Linked DNA regions of Lepisosteus oculatus. The protein of the gene in region 2 purifies or fractionates together with the protein of the main gene of each other region. This does not show direct contact. Links are inferred from orthologs where the notes say so. Each region holds a gene or a part of one and is shown on either strand. Other genes may lie near its edges. The genes, in order: smek1 and rngtt.

Region 1 (8,135 bases), on a different chromosome or scaffold from region 2:
GCAGTGTTAGGGTTTATTTTTGACTCCAACAAAAGAGAACCTGCAAAAAAAAGCAACATTACATAATGTGTTCACTGGTACCCAATAAAGAGTAAAATGAAAGAATTCAGTGCAATTTATTAACTCAATGTCGATATCTTTATCCCTTTGCCATGCGTAAATCACAGAGTGCTTCCAATTTCATCTTGACACAGGGCCCTGCAGTTGGCCATGTCCTCAGTCCAAGAACAGGGGTAGGAAACTGGCACAGCATAAGAATGCAGTCTATGTCACACCTGTCTCAGCTACTCTTCAGCACTTTTAACAATGAATGGCCTATAGATAGGAATTGCAGATCATGTCTTTGATGTAAACAAAACTTGTTTTCTAATGTATCAAAGCATAAACTGAATACAGAAAAGTTAAAAATATTTCCTTTGTCACTCGTGCAAACATTTTAGTTTTCCGAAATACTGGGAAAAGTGCACACAATTCAATCACCAGTCTCCATGAGCTTGTTACCCATTGGTGGCAAACATTTTCATGCCATCAAAATCATCTCAATACTTTTAAAATTAATGTTACAAAATGAATTACTTCTGATTTCAGAAAAGCAACCACTCCATTCAACAAAGGGTGAGGTATATTCACTCCTTGCCTACCAAAATTAAATTTAAGTAACACCTGCAATGTTCCACTTGTGTTGATGAAATGGAACCCCAAATGCAGTTTTAAAATTAAGGAATAACCTATTAAAAATGAGAAAAAACACAAGAGACGGCCCAAGGTGTCATGGCATTTTACATTACACAATTAACCAGATTCCTTGAAAAGACTGGAGCATTAGTGCCACATAAGGTTGTTCTTTTTCAACTTTAGGACTTGGAAGAGCAAATAATAAAAAATACTGTACAAGTTAAAAAAATCTAAGGCCGATCTTTTAATTTGTTAACAATTAAAGACTGCAAACTGTACTATTAAATGTACAAATTGTTCTAGCACATTTTAGCTGTGCTGCCATTTGTAATACATAAAAACTAAAATCGCATGCTCTAATTGTAGACACAATGACAGACAACCTTAGGCAGTACTACAATTCATCCTGCACGAATATAAGAAGCTTTGATAAGACGATTAGAAGAATCTGAAATCAGTACCTCTGGATGTAACTCAATAGCTTAAGAACAAAAAAACAACGTCTAGAATGTCAAAATGATCAGTAAAGAACGAGAAACTGATGAAAAGTTATTATTCCGGTCCAACTGGTATGGCGCTCGGACGAGTTGGTGCAACTCCTTCAACTTCCAACAGGTTACAGGCTGAACAAGCTGCAGGAGCGCAGCAGGACGAGCAGCCGAGCAGCGGACTGAAAACAAGCACTTTCAAGCAGCACGTTTAGAGGATTTTTTTTAATCTAACGTTGCGTTTTCGATACTGTTACCGAAGATCCAACACTGCACGTTCAATAAGAGACTGTCTACATTATAAGAGCTGCAGGCACAACTCTTCAGGACAATACAAACATGATTCAGTATTTATGAGGCTCTCGGACCTCGTTCTGTCAATACCTGGACACAATAGATGATGCATTCAAATACAAGTCTGAAATAAATGATTGGTTTTGTGCAAATCCTTGTATCTTTACTCAAACCTGGAAATCAGAATCTATGACGCCTTTGTTGTGCAATCACACGTTAATAAGGAGATGAAAGGTGTAATTTTGTACTTGTGTACGTAGGGGTGGACAACTATAGAGGGCATTAAGTACGGCAATCGCACTAAATAGCAGGACACTGGAAACTCAATGATCCTCGGCATGCACCCCCATTATCTGCAAGGCTGCATCTAGTGATCGAACCCTAACCCTGCTAAAACAATACAAAGACATACATGTTGTGCGGCTTTCGCCCAGCGTTACATCCCCCTGATTTGTAGAGCTGTCTCGGTTAAGACCTCGAAAGCACAAATCAAATCACTGCTTACTAAGGGAAAAGCCAGGCGACGTGTTTACACAAGTATCCGCGCAACTTTCAGGCACCAGCGGCGCTTAAAACCAGATCGAAACTTTACCCAGGTCTGCAAGCGAGCACTAAAACCTGTTAACAGAACCTTACTTTGGGGGGGGGGCAGCTACTGGCCACTTACCGTCACTCTCGGCCCGCACTAGCAAGGACATGCCTTTCAATCTCTCCACGTAGCCGGAGGACACATGCCCGGTGCCCCGGTCGTCCCACTGCCGATCTTCGTTAAGGGTGTAAACCTTCACTCGTCGCCGAGTGTCCGTCATTCTGCTAACCCACCCCGCTGTTCACACCCGAAAACACGCTTCGTCGTCCACCCCAGAGGCGTCGGACCCTCGGTCTCCGATCCTTAGCCCGGCCCGTCAGGGCGATCAGACGGCTAGCCTACTACAGCGCACACTCGCCCAGCTCGGGAGGGCGGCCTTGCTACCGAGGGCTTCAGGACGCTTTCGCCATTTTACCTCAAGTTGCGCAACCCTGTAAAACACTGCCCTTCCCGCTGCACAAGAGAAAGAGAAAGCGAGATATAACCCCGGCTGCACAAGGAGGCCACCAACGAAATTCGGCAGAAGGAGAGGGAAAGAAAATGTTCAGAGCACGACTGGAGAATCGGTGTTGTCGACAGCCCTTATCTGCGCGTATTTCTCATTCTTGGAAACAATGAACGCTTCATACAGAACCGCATGCGAGATCGACTGCATTATTTCCGCGAAAGGACGTGTCCGGATCTTTAATTTTAAAGGCAGCCGGCTGTTTTTATATTTATTTTCTATTATTTATACCCCTTCCCTAGCGTTCCGCCATGTTCTGTCCTCGGGCCGCGGAGAGAGACTAGCCTCTCCCCACAATTCTGAACACATTTAAAAATTAAATAAATTCAACCGGAATATTACTTGAACTCCCTTTATACGGAACCCCCCACGCACGACTACAGTTTCTCTTTAATTCCCAGTTTTATTTTATAATTACAGTTCCCTCAATCAGAACTCCGCCATCTTGGGTCCCCTCAGAGTGCCAGCACGGGGTCTCCAGCCCAGCGGCAGCAGGGGCAGCCCGCCACTATTTAAAGGAACAGCGCTTTCAATCGCACCTTTCAGACTCTCCATGTTCGGGTTACCAACTACTTTGACATCTAAAAATCAGTAAGGGCTTGTAATATCGGAGCCAGATAAGACTTTTTTTCCCAAGAAGTAACTGTAATTTACAGAATATTACACTGATGTCAACAAAGCCCCCAAATATTTGTATTTTAGGAGCTTGCAGGACAGATAAACCCATGAATGCCAATTAATTTTTTAGCTGTATGTACATCTGATTTAGACGTGTGCAAACAGTAAACAACAGATATAACATGTAGGTGTGGTAAAATATAAATCAAATCAATAAAATGACAATTAAGGTGGAAGTGAAAATCAAAAACTGTAGGAACTGAAACAATGTGAAACATGTACCGGTAGTCCGGATACAAAGATGAAGTCCCCCTGTTTGACTACCTATTCCAGGTTTAGAAGCAAGTACATTTTGTAAATTACATGACTAGTTTCAGAATAAAACATTAGTGGCCTACAGAAAAACAGTGGCTGCAGGATGTAGCCGAGAGCCCCAGGTGCTTCTCGAGCAGGTGCAAGGGGCTTGTGGTTTCTGTGGCTAAGGGGAGAGGTTAGAGAAGGAACGGGCTCTGGGGTTGGGGTTGGAGGGAGCAGGGGGAAATGGGACTGAAGATTTTCAGTAGCAGAGTGGCCCGAGCCAGAAATCAGACACGAGTGTGGTTTTGAATCCTCTATGTGCAGAAAAATAGAGTCTGCGGAAGGACTGGTCTCATCTCACTAGATTTTCATTTTCTATAATTCAGTATAATGCCCGTGTGCCCTGTTTATCGACCCAAGACTCGTATCTCCTCTCCAACCAGACATTTAAGAATTTTAAGTTATCTTACTGTTGCTGTGCTCATTTAATAGGTTTATTTTTAACAACTAGGCCTCAGACGTTCCTTATAGGATCCCATCACAAAGAAGAACCTGCTTCCCAAGCAGTTATATTACCCTGCAACTCTCAACTGCCAACACACTGGTGACCCTGGTCAGTACCTGGATAGGAGACCTAGGAAAGTTAAGGTTGCTGCTGGAAAAGATTGGGGCCAGTTGGGGGACGCTCACCCTATGGTCTGTGTGGGTCCTAATGCCCCAGTATAGTGATGGGGATGTAAAACCGGGGTCCTGTCTCTCTGTGGCCATTAAAAATCCCCGGGTGATTCTCAAAAAAGAGTAAGGATGTTGTCCCGGCGTCCTGGCCAAATTTCCCTTTGGCCTTTTTTGTAATAATTCCCTCCTAATAATCCCCATCTATAAACTGGCTTCATCACTCTGTTCTCCTCCCCACTTGATAGCTGATGTGTGGTGAGCGTACTGGTGCACTATGGCTGCTGTTGCATCATCCAGGTGGGGCTGCACATTGGTGGTGGTGGAGGGGAGTCCCCATTACCTGTAAAGTGCTTTGAGTGGAGTGTCCAGAAAAGCGCTATATAAGAGTAAGGAAACATTAACATGTTGTGAAGCTGTCTGACTTACTGTTGTTTTTATGGCAAGTTTGTGTCTTCAGCTTTTATTTTGATACACTAAAAATAGTTGTGTTTTTTTTAAATAGCAGATAATGCTTTACATAAAGCATACATTCAGCTGCTTTTGTTTTGAGCATCACGGTGGCACAGTGGTCAGTATAGCTGTCTCACAGCGCTGGGCCCCTGGCTTCAATTTTTGGGGTGCTACCTCCATGGAGTTTGAATGTTTCCCCTGTGTTTGTGTGGGCGTCCCCCTACAGTCCAAGAACATACCGATTGGGTAACTGGCTTCTGAGAAGACTGGCCCTGGCATGAATGTGTGCCCTGTGATGGACTGGCATCCCATTCATGGTGGCTCTTGCCTAGCACGCGCTGCTTGCCGGTTCAGGCTCCAGCTGTCCTTAGGGCCTGTACTGGAAAAAGCAGTTAGATGGACTGGATGCTTTTGTTTTAAAGGGTGAAAAGCTAAATAAGTTTGCGTTGAGTCATCCACACAGCTGCCCAATAAGCAGTGCTCTAATCATTCCAAGGTGGATTTTTTGGGGGAGGGAGAAGACGTTCAGACCCTTACACTGCTTTGATACCAGTCGGTAGGTTGTAATTGAGTTTAAAGCTGTATTGCGTTCTGCCATCTGAAAGCCTTAACAAAAATGGTCATGATTTCCCAGCATGCTAATGTTGATTAAGACAATTAAAACATCACAAAAAAATGGAAAATTCCATTTGTTGAAAGATCATAAACAACAGTGGTATTTATCACAAAGTCTATTTTGTATCTGACAATTTCAAGGTGAAGAAAAAGTACTAAGGTTTTTAAATTAAAATAAATGGAGCCCACAAACCACAACCTAGACAGTTAAACTAAGAAATTATTACATCAGCCCAGTACAGTAAAACACCCAAGCAGTATTCTGTTTTTGAAACCAGCAGAGATATTTTTTTTGGTCTCCATGGCAGCAAACTGTGATATGTAAACAGAATGTACTTTGCAGTGTGGAACTAAGTAAACCATTAATTGTATAGTGAATGAGGACAGCACAGTCACAACAAACAAAAGTCCACTGCAGCTGAAAGAAAGAGCTGGAACGGTTTCTATGTGAAACAAACAGCTAACATAAACAATGTCAGCAGGCATGCAGTACTTGTGTTGTTGCATAAAGATTCAATCTAAACTGAGAATTTAGAGGGCCCAATCTCTTTTTGCATCTTTAATGAAGTCAAAAAAGAGCCTTTGTTGTCTGCACTATGGAGACACAGGGATCACCGAAACGGCCACATGACTGGCCATGCGATGGAAAACAAAACTACCATCATGATCAACGATATTATCATCATTATCAATAATAATAATACTATTATTTTGTGCCTTCCAGTCTCTACTATGGAAGTTAACAAGAAAACAAAGTGTTTTTAGCACAGGAGCAGTCACAATCCTTATTTAGTGAAGTACCTTTTGAAAGCGCGAGAATTACAAAGGAAAATTACAAACAGTGCAATAATACAGAGCAGTGACAACCAACATAAAGAAGAAGGATCCACATCCGAAACGTTGTTTCCCGTCCTCTCTTTTCAGCATGTTACTTTCAATTCCCGCTGTATATAAAAAGGTTATGCATTTATAAAAATAATGATTCATTCTTCTAAGCTGTTACAATCTAGGGGACACTCACATTCATGGGGCACTTTCAGTGAAAACATACTTCATTGGCCGCAAGAAATCTGAAAGCTATAGTGCAGGCTGGAGAGGAGAGGTGTGTCTTCAGTTCAGTTTTTAAGGACGGAGGCCAAGTGCCAGTGCTCCCAGAGAGGGGTGCAGCCTCCTCACAATGAGAACCTCCCTAGTGTAGTACTTCAGTTAGTCACCCCTGAAATAAAACACAACTGGCAATCCTACTCAGCAAAGGCACTTATTCATACCCTCCCCGCCTTCTTCAGACTCCTTGTGATACTAGAGTGCATTGCTCTGTCTGACTAAAAGACTGTTCTTTTTTTTGCTGCCACGCAATCACAAATGTCAAAAACTGTTTCGTCAATTATATTGTTCTTTGTTTCCCTGTAAAGCCACATTTCTCACGCCGATTCATCTGAACTCTAAGCCCCAGTTTGATGAGGCACATGGTGACAGAGCAGGTCGCACTGGTGTCTGAAATGCTCTCGGGTTTGGGGTCAAACTTGCTTCTTGTATTCAAGGAATGGGCGATGCGCTGTCACAACTTTAACCCAGAATTAGCAGATATCTGAGAGTGAAATGATGAGTTATTGGTTTCATAAGGTTATAAAACCAACCAGATGACAAAGGTGGACTTGTTTAGTTAGTAAGCTGACAGTACTGATTATGAATTCCAATTATTTCCTCTTATTCTTTGTCAACATCCCAAACTTTTATGCTTAACAACAATAGCATTGCCTTATGGTTGTAGCACAAATGGTATCTTTTACTAAATATTACCTAATAACTCTTTATTCTCCTGTTAGCTGTTTTAAGCTGCATAGACAAGGAATGATGAATCAAGTATTTCTAACTTTTTCACAAACAAAATTACAAAAGTAATGTGATTTATGGAACATCAGCTTCCTTCATATATACAGCTAAATTGAAGAACATCGGAACTTCCAAATTCTTAAAACAGCCAATTATGTCACAAGAGTCTTACAATAGTAACATTAATATTCCATGTCTGGTAGTACTGCCTGGATTCTACACACTGTACTGTAGTATGACATCTGGTCACTCTCCAAGGGCTAGTAGCTATCTCTAGCACTGTATTTCATTCTTCTCATAAGTTAAATATAGTCCATTTATAGCAGTACAAGATGCAAGCAAAGCACAAAAGATTAGCAAGCATCCAGACTTGTATGTGATGAGCAATTCAGTTTAAGGCTACTTTATGCAAAACAGCTTGCAAACAGATGTTTTGGTTTTACTCTTTGGCACAATGGAAGCTTGTGAGCACTTTCAAATAAATATGAGGTATATCTGAGCATCAAAGAGAAAGTACATTCGTAACTAATATTGTGTCACAGCATGGATAGCATCTGTTCAGGCGGCTGTTTCTGGAGTGAAGAACTCTAGCCGAAAGGGTTGTGCCTTAAGATGATACACGTTTTTTGCTTTCTATGGATGCTGTAACAGAACAACAAAACTTCTCCCCACCAGATTTAAAGAAAGGCCTTCCTAACTTCTTCTTTTTCAGATTAATCTAATTGGGGAATCTTTCCAGCAGTGGGGTGTAATTATGATTGCATGTCTGCTGTTACACTTTAAACCCTTTCTGCCAAAGCGTAGTGTCTGTATATGTTAATTCAGCTATAATAAGCATTATTCTGCCCAGTTTCCCAGAGCTGATGAGCTCAACATCACTAGACTGGCAAGTATGTAATAAGTTTTTCCTGATTAGTCAGCTTTTTTATGTGGCCAAAGTTTCTGTCATCATTCCACTACAGCCTTGTATTAGGTAAAAACAACTTCCCAAGAAGTTATTTTTGCATTGCTCACCTGATGCTAAGTTTATATAATGCAAAAACACAATCCCGAAAAAACATGTTCTAAAATTTCAGAACAAGATCCTCACAAAGGC
Region 2 (8,042 bases):
GAACAATGCCAATGTTGTAAGCACAGGAAAGCATAGAAATGCGTACTACGAACGCCGGCACTCTTGTGAGCACAGGAAAGCGTGATAGATAACAGAAAAATACTTAAGAACTGTTCTAGGTTAATTTGAGAAAAATACACAAAGCGTCTCTGTGTTTCGCTTCCACGCACATGAAATAAAACCTTTTTAACTTCTGAGATGGACTCCTGAAATGGAAACGGGGGAAAAATGCAAGCTTGCAGATTGCTAAAGCAGGTAGGCCCCAGGCTATTTTTAAAGAACTTTGTTTACCATTGGCAAAAGAGATGATACGTATTATGTGTGGAGAAAAAGCTGCTAAACAGCTTGTCCTGCTGCCCCCTCTGAAAGACACAGTCATTCACAGAATTATTGATATGGCGGATGATGTCAAAAGTGTCAAAATTGGCCAATTTGCTCCTTTAGGTTAGATACGATTTTGAGGGTACGTCCCATGAGGACTTTCTGTTCTGTAAGCCGCTACCAACAGGAACTACAGGAGAGCACATATTTCAGCTTCTGAATGATTTTATCGAAGTGAATGGCATCGACTGGATAAAATGCGTCAGAGTTTCTATAGACGGTGCTAGAGCAATGACAAGCCGACACAGTGGTGTAGTTGCACGAATTAGAGAGGTTGCTCCAGATATGAAGTGGATACACTTAAAATCTGTTGTGAATTGTATCAAGGCTCGACCAATGAATTCACATCTGCTTTGCTCAACTAAACAGGCTCAACCCTCTCACTGAAATTTGTATTGTTTATTTTTAATTGTTGTGGTTCCTGTTGTAATTCTGTAAAGCGCTTTGAGAAGCCACCTTTAAAGGTGCTATATCAAATAAAGTTTATTTATTATATGTATGCATGTGTGAGTGTGTGTGCACGCGCGCTCATGTTGGTCATTGAGATTTTCTGGGGTTCCTATGAGATGATGACTTGTAGGTGGTACTTGGATGCTTTGGATTGATCAGGGGTGGTACTTGGTCCAAAAAGTTTGAGAACCACTCTCTAAAATCACACATTATATGGGAAAATATAAACTACTTCATATATGCTTTCTGGATCTTTCGACTTATTTTAACAATTGCGCTCAAGAGTGTCAATGGGATCTGTTCACATGCTTTTTTGTATAAAATACAAGCTCTTTATTTAATGTATTGGAAATACCCTGTATAAAATTCACTAAAGCCGAAAAAAGCAAACAGCACCCATCATAATCGACCTACCCCTATAGAGCACCATTGATATTACTGAACGTCAAAGCGACGCAGTTCTTGTATCTTACCTTGTGTTATTTGTGCTTTTTTTACATATTGTTTGCATTTTAGTGGAGTTTTAAAGTGGGGCCCATCATTCCTGCCAGCTTCCTCCAGGCTCTGCTGTCTCCCCCACGGCCTGGCATGAGAGGGACCCAGCAAGATCTGGGGTGGTGACCCGTGTGTGCCTGTAGTCACCCAGTTACCTTTCTCCCACTGCTCTGAATCAGCCTGCAATCCTGCCACCAGCCCGCACACAATCTCCCCACAGGACGTCTCTACAGGAGTCGATCACCACGCCGATTTCAAGTTAAAGGTGTTAATGTTAAAAAAACCTGTAACGCACCTGAAAGACCAAAATTCAATCTGCGATCGATCACAAAGGTACAAAAAAGAAACCGCCGTCTTGGAAAGCCATCAAATAGAAGCAGCCGTAGGAATATCCACACTGAAAACTGACATCCTGGTCAACTTAAAACCTCTCACTTGAGCACAGAAGAGAGAAGAGTCTATTAAGGTCTGAAAAAAATAAATACCGCCAAACTCAGATAGGAACCAAGGAACCCCTAGACACATGACAGAATGACCTTCTTAACCAAAAGAGTGAGACATTGGTGAAGCTTTTATTTTTTACAAACAAGTCCCTACAAATAGAGGGGTGGAAAAAAAAAACAAAGAATAACATGAACTGTAGGTCATTCTGAGAGACGGGTCTCAACGCACGAAAGAAAAATGTTTTCGGAGAATTTAAACGTAAAAGGTTGTTTTTTTTTTAGGACCGTGCGACTACGTTTGTTTTGTGTGGGGATCTCGTCACAAGCTAAGGAAATACAACTGACGTGCACAGCCTCCCGGTGTATAAAACACAGCTTGACAGCGTGCACAGGTTACAAGGGGCACCACAGAGCCGGCTGGGAGCTGCTCGGGGGCTTGGCCGACCCGGTGACCTGCAGCTGTTGGGATGCGCGATGAAATCGCCGAAATGTCACCGTTTTCTCGCCATCCCTCCAAAACGCGAACTTCATCGGAAAACCCTCAACCGCTCCCGGTGCACAGCCGGAGACAAACAGCTGGACGTTACACGCAAAATACTACACCGTCCCCTTTCTTTATGAAAGGGGCCGCCTAATGCAATGCGCTGACAAACCGAGCAGCGAAAATGTCACAAGGTGCCGCAGGTACTCACCTGCCACAGGTTGCCCCCTTCTCGGGCAATTCCGCCATCTCGGCGGGACCCCGCCGTGCGACATCGTGTCTCTAAGACCGGGAGAAAGGCTCCCCGGCAGGACCTCGCCACGGACCTCGCAGGAAGGACAGGTCGGTCAGGCCCGCATCTACGAGAGAGTCCCCAGGAGATCAGCCCTCCGCGGCGGGCTGCTGCACTCCCGTGCTCCGCGGCTCTTGGGCCTAAAGGCTGATGTTGAAAATACTTCAGCAAGTCCGGGAGGCGTCCAGGGTGCAGAGGTGACCCGCTTCGCTCGGACGGTCCTGCCTCCCCGGGATCTGAGCTCCGAGAAGTTTAGTCTCCCGAATAACGGGAAAAAACTTCTAGTTTTCCCCAGAATCAAACGCAGCGTCCATGAATGAACTACAATCAAATCCTCCACATTTCCCCCAGAGTGCTCCGCACTTCCTATACAAATACCTGCAGTGGCCGAGAAGCAGCGCTAGATGGTACCTTCGGCTCGAAAAAGAGCTGTCGCTGTTTGGCACTTCACTACCACACGTCGTGGTAGACTTGTGATACACAGCTTGGTCTAATATTGATAAAATATTTGCCAACTCTTGAAATTGAATTGTATTTTTTGTCTGCACTTATTATCACGGTACAGCACATTTAAGGTTTCTAAAGTGTTCTAACGCCGTTTTTTAAGCGATTCAAGTTTCATTTTAGCTGCGCATTTTGTAGAGTCGAGCCATCTTCATTGGGAGAAGGGAAATAATGTATTGTTTTGAATTTAACTCAAAGAGCGCCCAGTTTGTAGCTTGGTATAGAGTGTGATAGCAGAGTCGCCAAACGGTTTTCCTGGTTTCCTTGCTGGTTGTAAAGTCTACAGTTCACAAACACAGCTTGGACTTCAAAAGTATAGAGTTAAAGCAGACATCTAATTTTCTTTAACCACTACCCTGGTCAACCCAAATATTATTCACTAGTCAGTCATTTTCTAAGGTGGGATCGTTAAGTCCTCGTATAAAGTAAAGCAAAACGAAACATGCTTTACCTTGAATTGACCAGCTTCATTTTCGCAAGGGTTTGTGATAAAAAACGCTGCAGCATCACTCAGGACGGCTGGATAGCGTATCGTAATTATTTTAACCGTGCATGGATCTGAACTGCAGACGGTGTTGTCTGTTTATAACTCCTTCTGCAGTGCCATTCTTGTTACAACATTTTTTCCAGACTGCAGAACAATAACGAGCCGATATTTGTTCAATTGCAGTAGAATTGAATTCATTGAATTATCCTTTATTGCCCCTAAAGGGAATTTGTCTTGTACATCACGATCCCATAAAAATACAGAGTATAGAGTATGACAATAATGCAATCAAACAACACTAAAATACCATGATATAAACCAAGAGTTGAAAGTTAGATTCACACTAAGTTTGTTCATCTTTAGGGGTTTTTTGTAATTATGGAAACAATTTGCATTTTCAAAGCTGCAGCAAACCTCTATTATGTGAAATTGGTCCCCAGTCGGCTTGCTGTGTATCTGCTGGTGGACAAACAGTGATATTGATTATCTTGTATGACAGTGGAGATCATCGGGTTTTGAACTATTGAGCCAAGTCAAGTGTATCACAGCGCAGGGCTGCTACTACACTGATGACCTCCTGAGGTGCTAAGTGGTGCCAGTTAATGTCATCGTGTCTTCAGGCATTCCAATGCCAGGGCCAACACAGCAGGACTCGAGCATTCCTGGCACAGAGTAAAAACTGTGGTTATTACATTAACCCACTCTTAGCCCTGATTGAGCAAATATATAAATATCTGACAGGCTGAAGTGGTCCAGGTGGGCAGCTGCGTCAGCATGTGCAGTCTGCAAAGGAACAAGTAATAGTTTTTTTCCAAGCTGAAACGAGAAGAGAGAGAACACGAGAGAGAGAAAAAATGTGTTTTCTCTCTTCTCTTTTCAGCATGGAATAAACCTGTTGCTTGTTCCAATGTCTGACAGGCATCTAGCATGGCCAGTAGCTATGGGCTGTGTATGCCAAGTGGTACTGAACAGGGAATTGGGAATCTTTTATCATGGATCCATGGTGTGCAGTTGTCATGTCTATGACTGCAGGATAGACCCATTTATTATCTATAGTTTGACCCTGAGACAGTGGCAGCAGTGTACAACATACAGAACAGAAGAGGAAACTAGACATGTGTGTTATCACGGACAGCAGATTTACAGGACCATTAGTATAAAACTTAAACTTGTAGTGAAGAGTTTTAAAAGAAATTAGAATGCCTTGTGCCCGGTCTGTCCCTTTGAAAAGGCACACATGACATTTTTTTTAAATGTCTCTGTTTCCATGATAACTGCAAGGCATTACTAAAGATTAGGTACAGCCATTTTATTGAGCAGACATGACAAAGCAAGATTCATCATGCTCATTAACATTGGCCATCAACTGGTCAGATTGACAGGGATTACACAGTGAAATCCACAGGCTAGTAGCATGTGTGACCATGTCTGGAAGCAATAGAAGTTGTGGGTAGCTATAGCTGCAGGAGCTCACAGATGCTGTCTTGTGGGATTGTAGCCATTTTTGTAGTAGTGCCTTGATAAATCTGTGCCTTTTCATTGGCCTCTGAGCCCATAGTCCCACACATTGTCCCAGTTCATCCCTCAGATTTTCAATGGGACTCAGGTCTCACAAGTAGGGTATCTACACATCTACACACCTACTCCTCTCGCAAGAAAGCCATTGGTACATGAGCAAGATGAAGACATTCACTCTCCTGCTGGAATATTGTCAGGTCAGCATGAGTTTGCCAGCGATCATACAACTCTGCAGCTCACCACTGGCAGCCCACTGAAGCTCAGCAGGTGTGAGCCTGGTCAGTACCTGGATGGGAGACACCTGGGAAAAATAATGTTGCTGCTGGAAGAGGTGTTAGTGGGGCCAGCAGAGGGCGCTCACCCTGCAGTCTGTGTGGGTCCTAATGCCCCAGTATAGTGACAGGGACACTAAACTGTAAAAGGGGCACTGTCCTTTGAAGGAGACATAAAACTAAGGTCCTGACTCTCTGTGGTCATTAAACATCCCAGCGTGTCTCTTGAAAAGAGTAGGGAGTAACCCTGGTGTCCTGGACAAATTATCCACTGGCCTTTACCAATCATGGCCTCCTAATAATCCCCATCTCTGAACTGGCTTCATCACTCTGTTCTCCTCCCCACTGATAGCTGGTGTGTGGTGAGCGTTCTGGAGCACTATGGCTGCCATCATCTAGGTGGGTGAGGAGAGTCCCTATTACCTGTAAAGCGTTTTTAGTGGGGTGTCCAGAAAAGTGCTATATAAGTATAAGCAATTATTGTTATTTACAGGAGGAAAAGCCAGTGGGCTCCCAGGACTTGATCTGTAAAACACTGTGTTGACAGGGTGCCAACACTGAATGCAGCTGGAGTTCTGTAGTGACAAGCCACTCCTCCCAAGTCTGGGTGATCTTAAATGTTTATTTTAGGGAAATTCCAAGTGTTAGTAAACCGGAAAGCGAGACCGTTTTAATAAAATGAACAATTCCCTAAAGTAAAGCTATCTCACTAGACTGATGTTAAAGAAAGAAACTGTCTACAAGACTGATGGTTTGGCACAAATCTGAAAAATACAGCCCCTTCTCCTAAATTTTATCTGGGTCCTTCCAGTACCAGATACTTGACAGGTTTCTGTTTGTTAATGGGAGCTCCAAACTGCGGTACTGTTTGTATTACACAAACTCTTAATTTCTCTTGTTTTTTCTGTGACTTTTCCTCATTCATCTTCCTTGCTTTGATCTGTGCTTTAAACAGTGTTGAGCACAAGTGCTAGCCCTCACCTCAAAAGGTGTCAAAACATTTGGTTCGCTCCACAAAATTGTGAGCTTCTGTCCAGTCTAATTACCCAGAGTTGTAATTACTTTACAAGAATTTACAAGAGACTTTACAAGAATTAAAAAAGAATGATCATAATGTTACTTTTGTAACTTGTAACTTTTGTAAGTGTTGAGTACATTTAAAGAAATAATTTTATGATTATTCTGTCAGTTGGGGGCTGCGCGTTGGTGGTAGTGAAGAGGGGTCCCCATTACCTGTAAAGCTCTTTGAACTAGTGAAGTGTCCAGAAAAACGCTGTATATGTACAGCATAAGGATAACTTATATGTATTATTTATAACAGTGCTATGGGTTCTTAAATATAAATCTAAAAACAAGAAGAAGAAGAAGAAGAAGAAGAAGAAGAAGCATTCCTCCAAAATTAAGGTGTTTCTGTTTATTTACTGTATGTATCCAAATATAATAACCCGGTATCAGAAATCAGTCTCAGCCCGACCTACATACTGCAGCGATCAGCTGATCACAGCCGTTTCTCTACTTTCTTTAGTTATGTAAAAAATGAAAACTTGCATCTTTTTTTATCTAACCAATCAAAAGGTAAAATTCAAAGTCATGTGATGAAACTTTCCCCCAGCAACACGGACTAGGGAGCTGTTGCCTGGCATATTTCCGAGTCCAATCCAATCCAGCCTGAAAACCCTGCTTAAACGCTTTGCCACCCTTCTGGGGATGCATCTCTAGTGCGCTGAATACAAATGTCTACTTGGAAAGCAGACCATTATCTGTGTATCGGCATTGGTTCACATTAAATTTTTTAAAATTAAAATACAAACTGAATGCAAATTTCTCGTCTTGTGCTTGTGTCCCGCGTGTTAATACCCAAATCGAGTAACTACAGCAGATCGCATTCCCAGATAGCGCCTTTAACTCGCCATTACTGACCTTTTTCATAAAACCACTAAATACAATAATAAAATCGAGGATAAGAATCGGTCGGGGAAACGGAGAATCAAGGCCAAGTTTCTATCAGCTAGTGAAACTAAAATTGTACAATTTAAACCGTCCTGTTGTTGTGATGGTGCTAATTAAAGGGAATATGCTGTGGCAACGGCTTTAAAAATACTGTATTTTTTAAAAATATAATGCAAAACCGGATTTTTTTCTAAGAAATGCAAATTGCAACTGTAAAACAAAGGAAACATTTGAGCGCACTGAGCACAGGTGACTGGCCACGTCAGCGCTGTACAAATTGTGAAACGAAAGAAACGTCTTGGAGTCGGAAAAAAAAAGACGACAAGAGGAAAACAGACGAAGCCACAAACTGTATCGAGAATCTGCTGACATTAGTGTGGGCTGTTAGGTGAAGTGTTGAACCCAAACCCGACCCCAGAATGAACGCATCCACTAACAATCACTCCCGGTGTTTTCTTCAGCAGCTCTATAAACACTCATAGCCCTAGCAGATTTGTTTTGTTTATCGTTAATGTCACCGAATCACTGTTTTTTTTACTGTTCTCAATTACGAAACAACAACAGTAATACAATAATCTCATCCACAGCCATGCCACTGTACATACAGTAAGAACAATGCTTATTTACTTAAAAGACAGAAAAATATCCAAGACGATGAAAGAAAAAAAAAGGTTTCCATTTGATTTTATTGGGTTCATACTGGCCACTGGTCACCAGTCCATCGCAGGGCACACACAGAGGCACAAACACACACTCATGCCAGAGCCAA

Evidence for each region.
Region 1: the proteins of rngtt (region 2) and smek1 purify together in Homo sapiens (affinity purification with mass spectrometry; 3 studies listed by BioGRID and IntAct, with this or other methods). This does not show direct contact. The link is inferred for Lepisosteus oculatus from reciprocal best matches to the Homo sapiens genes RNGTT and PPP4R3A.

What each region holds. Positions count from the first base shown.
Region 1 is NC_090703.1:20,030,345-20,038,479, forward strand, and holds the start of smek1 (serine/threonine-protein phosphatase 4 regulatory subunit 3), read right to left. Parts: upstream 3,033-8,135; 5' UTR 2,267-3,032; coding exon 2,125-2,266; intron 41-2,124; coding exon 1-40. UniProt on the Homo sapiens protein: Regulatory subunit of serine/threonine-protein phosphatase 4. May regulate the activity of PPP4C at centrosomal microtubule organizing centers.
Region 2 is NC_090697.1:8,027,035-8,035,076, reverse strand, and holds the start of rngtt (mRNA-capping enzyme), read right to left. Parts: upstream 3,128-8,042; 5' UTR 2,526-3,127; coding exon 2,462-2,525; exon of another isoform or gene 1,348-2,461; intron 256-1,347; exon of another isoform or gene 32-255; intron 1-31.